Linked DNA regions of Xenopus tropicalis. Each later gene encodes a partner of the first gene's protein in a complex. Links are inferred from orthologs where the notes say so. Each region holds a gene or a part of one and is shown on either strand. Other genes may lie near its edges. The genes, in order: dlc1 and tns2.

Region 1 (3,825 bases):
GATCATTGGTATCACCAGCCCTGTGAAAGTGATGGTCGCCGAGACAGCTGGTGATCTGTAGTATTGCAGCCTTCCATTAATTGGGGGCCATTCAAGTCCAGGATTACTGGTTTGACAGTATACTTCTCAACTCTCTTGGTACTCCATCTATTTTTTTTTTTTTTTTTTTTCCCCTCTGTGCTTATTTTTGTCATTGCGCTTCACTGGATCATGTAATTTGTGCTTGAAACATTTTTGGCTATTGATTGATACAGAGTGTTTATTGTTAAAGCTGTTTGGCCTGAAAGTATTGGCTTGAAAGCCCTTATTGAAAACAGAAGTGTTCTGGTCAATGTCCATGTTGAGGCTTATGGAAACCAGAGGTGTCTGTTGTGCTCTGTAACCATAGAGCTAGTGATTCAGGTTTCCACGTGCATTTGTCAGAGGCCGGCGTTTTTCCATGATTTTATTCTTATTCATGCTTTAGAGAAGAACGTATTTGCATTAGTAAGCCTATTAGTTACTTTACAGACGTGAAGTATGGGAAGCAGAGCTTTCTCCTTTGCTCTCCAGTTAATCTCTTTAGCTCCTGTGACTGATGGCCTTAATGCCAAAGATCTTTCCTCTCTTACTTTTTTCCATCTGTCTTCCCATGGTTCCCTTCTATTTGTATATGTTAAATGGGGTACTGTACCTCTATTTGAACAGTATGGGCAATGTAAAGAGCTTATTCTATCATTTTTAATGAGCCACTTACAGTAAAGGGGTGGTTTGCCTTTTAAGTTAATTTCTAGTATGGTATAGAATGCCCGACATCCAGCAACTTTGCAATTGATTTTCATTATTTTATTTTTTTTATAGTTTTTAAATTATTTGCCTTTCTCTTCTGCCTCTTCCCAGCTTGCAAATGGGGCTCTACAACTTTATTATTATTGTTACTTTGCATTACTTATCTTTCTATGCAGGCCCTTTACTATTCATATTCCCATCACTTGTTTAAACCACTGCCTGGGTGCTAGGTTAAATAAGACCCTAGCACCCAGATAGCTGCTAAAATACCAAATGGAGAGCTGCTGAACAAAAAGCTAAATAACTGAAAAACCATCAGAAATAAAAAATGAAGACCAATTGCAAATTGCCTCCGAATATCAACGTCTACATCATTATAAAAGTTAATTTAAGGTGAACTACCCCTTTAAGCATTTTTTGTACGATACCTACCTCTCCGTTTCTTCTCCGGATCAAAGTAGAAGGGTTTGCAACCCTTAAAAACATTTTTGGATCTTCTATAGCCCTGGGCCCCCAATCGGTCTTTATTATGACAAACTTGGTTCTTGATAAGAATCAAAAAAAAACTTTTTTACACACTAAAACAGTAGGAGCAGCTCAGCCCCTGTAGACAAGGTAGTATGGCACAACAAGCACTTATTAGGGCCAGTGGGGACATCAAGCCTGTGGTCTTCCACCTGTGAAACTCTCACCATCCTCGGCTGGCTCAAAGAATTCACAACAGTAAAAATCTTAGAATTTGGTATTCCTGCACTGAGAACTGGTGTACACTTTATACTGTTAATTTTTTTTGTTTCCTGACTGGTGTCTGTTGTTCTGCGCAGATGTCCCCAAGGAGCAGCGCCTGCAGGCAATCAAGGCGGCCATTATGCTGTTGCCTGATGAAAACAGGGAAGTCCTGCAAACCCTTTTATACTTCCTGAGTGATGTTGCAGCAGCTGTAGATGAGAACCAGATGACCCCCACCAACCTCGCTGTCTGCTTGGCTCCTTCCTTGTTCCACCTTAACACCTTGAAAAGAGAGAACTCCTCTCCCAGGTACTTAGACATGTTGTAGCATGCTGAGCTTGAACTGTAGAACAGTAAATAAAGATCAATGCTGGTCAGTGTTCAATCTGCTGTAGTCTGATTTACCATATTCTACATGTTCAGAACTAGGGTGCACTGAATTCACTATTTTAGGATCCAGACAAACCCTGAATCCTTTGTGAAATATTCAGCCAAATACAGAACCAAATCCAAATCTTAATTTGCTTATGCACATTAGAAAAAGGAAGGGTTAAAGAGAACCGTACACTTGCCGTGCGGTGAAAAAATGTCAACTTCTGTGATATAACAAAAAGTCACATGATTTTAAGGATTAGGTTCAGTCAAGGGCATGGGTTCGACCGAATCCTGCTAAAAAAGGCCAAAACCCAAACCGAATCCTAATTCGGTGCATCCCTACTATGCACTCCATAGGCCATTGAAATACTCCCTAATAAGGAGCATAAGAAGCTCATGGAATATAAATGAATATTTGTCTGTTATCCAGATCCAGATTCAAAGCTGTTAAACCCAACACTTTAAGCAGTCTGTTATCCATATAAAACGGTGTTGACCATCCTACTCAACAGAGAGTGGCAGTGACATATGCCTCATCCAATATTTTCATTCTCTTTCCATAAGAAAGTATTTCAGTTTAAGATATCACATTTGGATCTCGTTAAGCTGATCCAGCAACCATTTAAAAAAGAACAAATACAAACATTTCCAGATTGGCTAAAAGTTAATCCCAAAATGAACTGCCATTTAAGAACCTCCCACCTACCATAGAATAACTTCCAAGTAGCATTTGGCTTGTTCGAGGAATAAGACCTGCCATGGCCTGCACGGTGTAACCTTTGCTTATGTTCTCATTTTACTCCAGGGTTATGCACAGAAAGCAGAGTCTAGGAAAGCCTGATCAGAAGGACCTGAATGAAAACCTTGCTGCCACTCAGGGTTTGGCTCACATGATTGCCGAGTGCAAGAAACTTTTCAAGGTCAGATTGTGTTAACGTGGTTCACTCATTTGTGTAAGCGCTTTGCGATGTTTCCTAGATCTCAGCCTCTGGGCTATTCCGTATTTTATTACTTCTTGTAAGTCTTAGTCCTTTCATGGTACCAGCACCAGTTATGTAATGGTTTAAACCTCCAGGATTAGGCTCGTTCTAGCATATGTTGCATATTTCCCCAGCATTGACACGGTCAATTAATTTGGATTTACTGCTAATAATAACAATGTCGCATAACGGTTAATACCCATTCTTTGCTATAAATACAGTAAATCGCTAAAACAACTGGTTTATTGTTCATCTGAAATCTCACATTTTGCTCTTTTTTTCATTCCCTAGATTCCTGAAGAAATGAGCAAGTGCCGTAATTCATACATGGAGCACGACCTGAGACCCGTGTGCCTGGAGGAGCTTGTTAATGGCAATGCAGAGGGGCTGTGTGACTATCAGTCGTACCTTCAAGAGAACATTGACGTCTTGCTCAAGGATGCTAAAGACAAATTCAAAGGCTGGGTCAACTGTTCGACATCAGAGCAAGCAGATCTCTCTTACAAAAAGGTGAATTGATGTTTGGAAGCCACAGGGCTGTAGTTACATGACAGGGGAAACCATGGCAATGTAGAATGAAATTGCAGTCCTCAGACTGTTGTAAACCTGTCACAATGAGTTCCCATTCTCCCCCATCCCATTGCAGCTTGGGGTCTGCAAGTTGGACATCTCTGATGTAGATGAATTTATCCGGATTGTTGTATAAATAAGTCCTTTTCTCTTGTTACTTTTTAACCCCAAGTAAATATGCATTAAGACCAAATGAGACAGCAGGCTGGGTAATCATCCATCCTTTTATGGCTCTTTAATCTCACAGCATATTGCACTTCAGAAGCTAGAAAAAAAATGTATTGTGCTTTGACTGGATCACCTAGCTTTTTTGGGGCCCAATAACACTGATAAGGCCCTTGGCAGGCACAGAGGAAGCTTTGCATTTAAGAACCTTCTAATGCTCTTACTAAGCTACATGGGG
Region 2 (3,825 bases), on another chromosome or scaffold:
TACTGCCATTCTGTGCAGACAAATAACCTTGTAAATGTGCAGAATCCCACCCTTCAGGGCCATAGTGTTATACAAACAAGTCCTACATCCCCTACACTCAGTCCAACTCTTCCAGGCCATAATCAGGGGCAAACAGACTCTACAGCCCTCAGATCAGCTCCATCTGTACACATACAGAATCTAGCTCCTCAAAGCCACAGTCAGGGGCAAACGTGTTCTACTTCCCCCACACAAAGCCTGTCTGTACATGTACAGAATCCAGTGCTTCGAAATCATAGTCAGGGGCAAATCTGTCCTACATCTCCCTCGCACAACCCAGCCATGAACACACAGAACGCAGCTTTTCAAAGTCAGCCTTTGGGTCAAACAAGCCCTGCATCCCCAACACACAGTCCATCTTCCCAAACAGGCCATACTGCACAGTTGTCCAGTCCGTCTGTGCAGTTAAATGGAAGTAGCCAACATATGAGTTTGGCTGTACAAGGGCATGGCCAGCTGCACTCACTGGATGAACGTGGACAAGCACAAGACAATGTGCCCACACACAGCCTGACATTTCCAACAAACAATCCAGTCAACACAAAGAGTTCACCTGACCAATCAGACATCTCCAACCATACACAAAACACAAGTAAAGAGGTACATAACACTGCACTGCCCTCTGAACCACAGACGGGCAACTGTGTAGCCAGGCAGATCACCAATTCATATCCACATTCTCCTAATCACACCCACATTTCAGAGGATCAGACACCTGTGACCACAGCATTTGCACTTACAGAAACAGATCGGCCTCAACAAAAAATGGTCCAATCTCACAGTTCTGTAAGTGTAAACAATTCATCAGTAAAGCCATATAGTACGGTCCATACCCAGAGTCAGCTGGTGCAGACAGACAATTCTATAGAGAGTCAAATCCCTCCAGTACAATTGCACCATCCTGTGCCTAAAGCAAGTCAAGCCCAATTACACAGCACTGTGCACACGCAGCTGTACAGAACCGTTGGTGGTCAGAGTCCATCGGTGCCGACCCAGAAACCTGTGCCTACGCATCCAAACAGCACTGTAGTTACTGAGAGGTGAGAATATATGTGGTACAGTTCTCTCTAGAAAGAAGAATGCTTAATGACCATTATGTAAGTCCATTATAAATGTCAGTAGTGCAATAGACAGGCAATAGCCAACCATATTGAGAAGTTAATTTAATGAAATAGGTTTTTTATTGTAAGTGTGGAATTAAATTATATAAAATTACATTTATTGGCTGAACTGTATTTTTGCCTTCATTTTCTGTTTACTGTGAATAAGCCTTATGTCTATAATATATATTACAGAGCTGATTTGCCAATATCACTAGGGTTTCTTGGAACACCCTCCTACCTTTCACATTTTGCAGTTGCCACCTCTCAGCTATGAATGATCTGCATTACTTCATGCAGCTAAATTAGTTTCTATATGTTATTCTTTTGGGCCAGTGCCGGCCATCTCTGGTCAGTGTTGGACTGCTGGTGGCTCCAAAGGAAAACATAAATAGGGCCACTCACTTTGACTTTTCTCTACTTGCCTTTTCAGTTGCAGCTAAAGTTGCACTAAATAAAGCATGTAAAGGCAGTACAGATGAGATAAAGCTGACTAAAACCAGTCTATAAATATGGTAGTGAAGATGCTAGAAGATAATACACATTTGTACACAGCAGGGCTGCCTATTTTGATTTAAGAGAAAAAATATTTTTGCAGCTTTCTCATCTTCCTTGTTATTAAGGAAAACTATACCTGGCAACAGTGTAGGTCTCTATAAAAATATATTGCATACAGCTCATGCTAGGCCCCATCAGCCAACTAATAGACAGTGTATAAGTTCTGCCTTTTGCTCCCACACTACTTCCTGTTACAGTCAGAGCGGCATTATTCCCTGTCAGCTGATCTCTGAGGGAGCACACAGCCCATCACTAAATGGCGGCTCAAGGGAAAGGATGTAAAAGGGCAATATTTACTGTTATATATATTGCAGTTTGGTAAAGTTCTTTAATAGGCTCCTTAATATGATATTAACTATCTGTTGGTTAAGTGTTCATTGTGGGGGTATAGTTTTCCTTTAGGGCAAGGGCACACTGGCATATTATCAGCCTGTGGATAAGTCTAGGCTGACAATACATCTGTGCGCTTAAAAAATTATTTTAGATTTGGCAGTTGTTGGCAGATATCACATACCTGCAACCAGGTGGATTCAATGCTACTGGGTGCAGGCACAATAATAAGATTTTTGTAAGCGTACGGGAGCCTGCGCTTATCCGCAAGCTGACAATATGCCAGTGTGCCCTTGCCCTTAAGCACAATCTCATACTTTTTATTGCTCTGCTTTCCCCTGCTTTATGTTTCTTTAAGCTTCAAGTTTCCTCAATGTAGTATCCCATAATGCTGTTTGTCTATGCCAGTGTTTTTCAACCTTTTTTGGGCAAAGGCACACTTGTTTCATGAAAAAAATCACGAGGCACACCACCATTAAAAAATTTAACTCTGTGCCTATATTGACTATATATAAAGTAATTCTCTTGAATAGGAATCAAATAAACACAAAGAAAGTATTTTCCGGGACATTTTCTCCACAAACCCACCCCCCCCACTGATTTTTTATTTTTTTTTTATACACACAAAAATTTTATATATATATTATTATTAATTGTTTTCTTACATGTCAGGCTGCGGCATCCAGGGGTGTCCCAGGATTGTCCTCCGGTGGGGAGTAGGGCGGCTGTGCATGGGCCTGGCCCCTGGTGGATCTGGTCTGTCGGGGCAGGGCCTGGGCAGTTGCTCCCCCCGGTCGGGTTGTGCCAGGGCAGGATAGTGCTGCCTCTCCTCTCTGGTTGCTCCGCCCTCCTGGATCCGATGCCGGATGACGTCACAGGCAGTGACGATTTCCGGGCATCATGGAGCCAGGAAGTGGAAGGTGTCCCAGAGGGGACCGGGGGAGTCTTGTCTTCACCTACGGCACACCAGGCAACATCTCAACACTAGTGTGCCGCGGAACAGCGGTTGAAAAACGCTGGTCTATGCAAATAACAATGAATGAAGGAAGAGTAGATGCACAGTAGTAAATACTGAATGAATATGTTGCTTTAAGTGGCCTTTACAAATATTTGGAATTTTCTGACAAGAGAATATGTTATTTCTTACTTACAGGCCTGGGTTACCAGCAACTCATGTGAATGCTCCCCCCTGTGCAAATGAAGCAAATACATTATTGCCAACTTCTTCCTCCCAGTCACATGTAACTAAGTTTGTCCTGCCAGTAACATCAGAGGCTAAAAGGAGTCACACCACATTTGGGCCTGCTATCTCATCTCCCAGTGGTACAACTGCTTTTGGGTCAGGTTACTGTTCTCAGAGTTTTTCTGTGCCGAAGCACACCGTTCTACTCCAGAAGAGAAGTGTCACTATATCATTGCCAGTCAGCCCTGTAAATCCCCAAGGAAAAGAAGCACCGACCAGCCCACCAAAATCCCCAATGGGAAGTCAAAGTGATCTCCTGCCTCCTTCTCCTACTCCTTCATTCCCTATTAGAACTGCCTATTATTCCAGCAGTCCATGCCCACCTAGTATTCAGCCACCACGACTGCCAGAAAAAAATCACTCTCCAGCTGACGGGGCAAAAGTGGATCCCAATGGACTGTCTGAGTGCAACAAAGGCCATTCATCACCAGTGGGTTGGTATTTTGTACATTGATAAGTGACATATTCTTGTTGAACAAGATAGAAGCACATGGGTAATTAGATTACATTGAGACAGATGTAATATCCTGTGATGTTTAAACACCAAGGACTAGA

Evidence for each region.
Region 2: the proteins of dlc1 (region 1) and tns2 are in contact, whole or in part, in an NMR structure (PDB 2LOZ), measured with the Homo sapiens proteins. The link is inferred for Xenopus tropicalis from reciprocal best matches to the Homo sapiens genes DLC1 and TNS2. Residues at the interface, in NP_001335010.1 of Homo sapiens: Glu811, Asp812, His813, Lys814, Pro815, Gly816, Thr817, Phe818, Pro819, Ala821, Leu822, Thr823, Asn824; in NP_736610.2 of Homo sapiens: Asp1268, Leu1269, Leu1270, Arg1271, Gln1272, Gly1273, Ala1274, Ala1275, Cys1276, Lys1317, Ser1319, Ala1320, Gln1321, Thr1324, Leu1387, Asp1388, Pro1389, Asp1390, Gln1391, Val1403, Leu1404, Leu1405, Gly1406.

The regions. Positions count from the first base shown.
Region 1 is NC_030677.2:41,038,601-41,042,425, reverse strand, and holds part of dlc1 (rho GTPase-activating protein 7), read left to right. Parts: intron 1-1,592; coding exon 1,593-1,806; intron 1,807-2,677; coding exon 2,678-2,792; intron 2,793-3,143; coding exon 3,144-3,362; intron 3,363-3,825. UniProt on the Homo sapiens protein: Functions as a GTPase-activating protein for the small GTPases RHOA, RHOB, RHOC and CDC42, terminating their downstream signaling.
Region 2 is NC_030678.2:147,556,478-147,560,302, reverse strand, and holds part of tns2 (tensin-2), read left to right. Parts: coding exon 1-1,079; intron 1,080-3,180; coding exon 3,181-3,704; intron 3,705-3,825. UniProt on the Homo sapiens protein: Tyrosine-protein phosphatase which regulates cell motility, proliferation and muscle-response to insulin. Phosphatase activity is mediated by binding to phosphatidylinositol-3,4,5-triphosphate (PtdIns(3,4,5)P3) via the SH2 domain.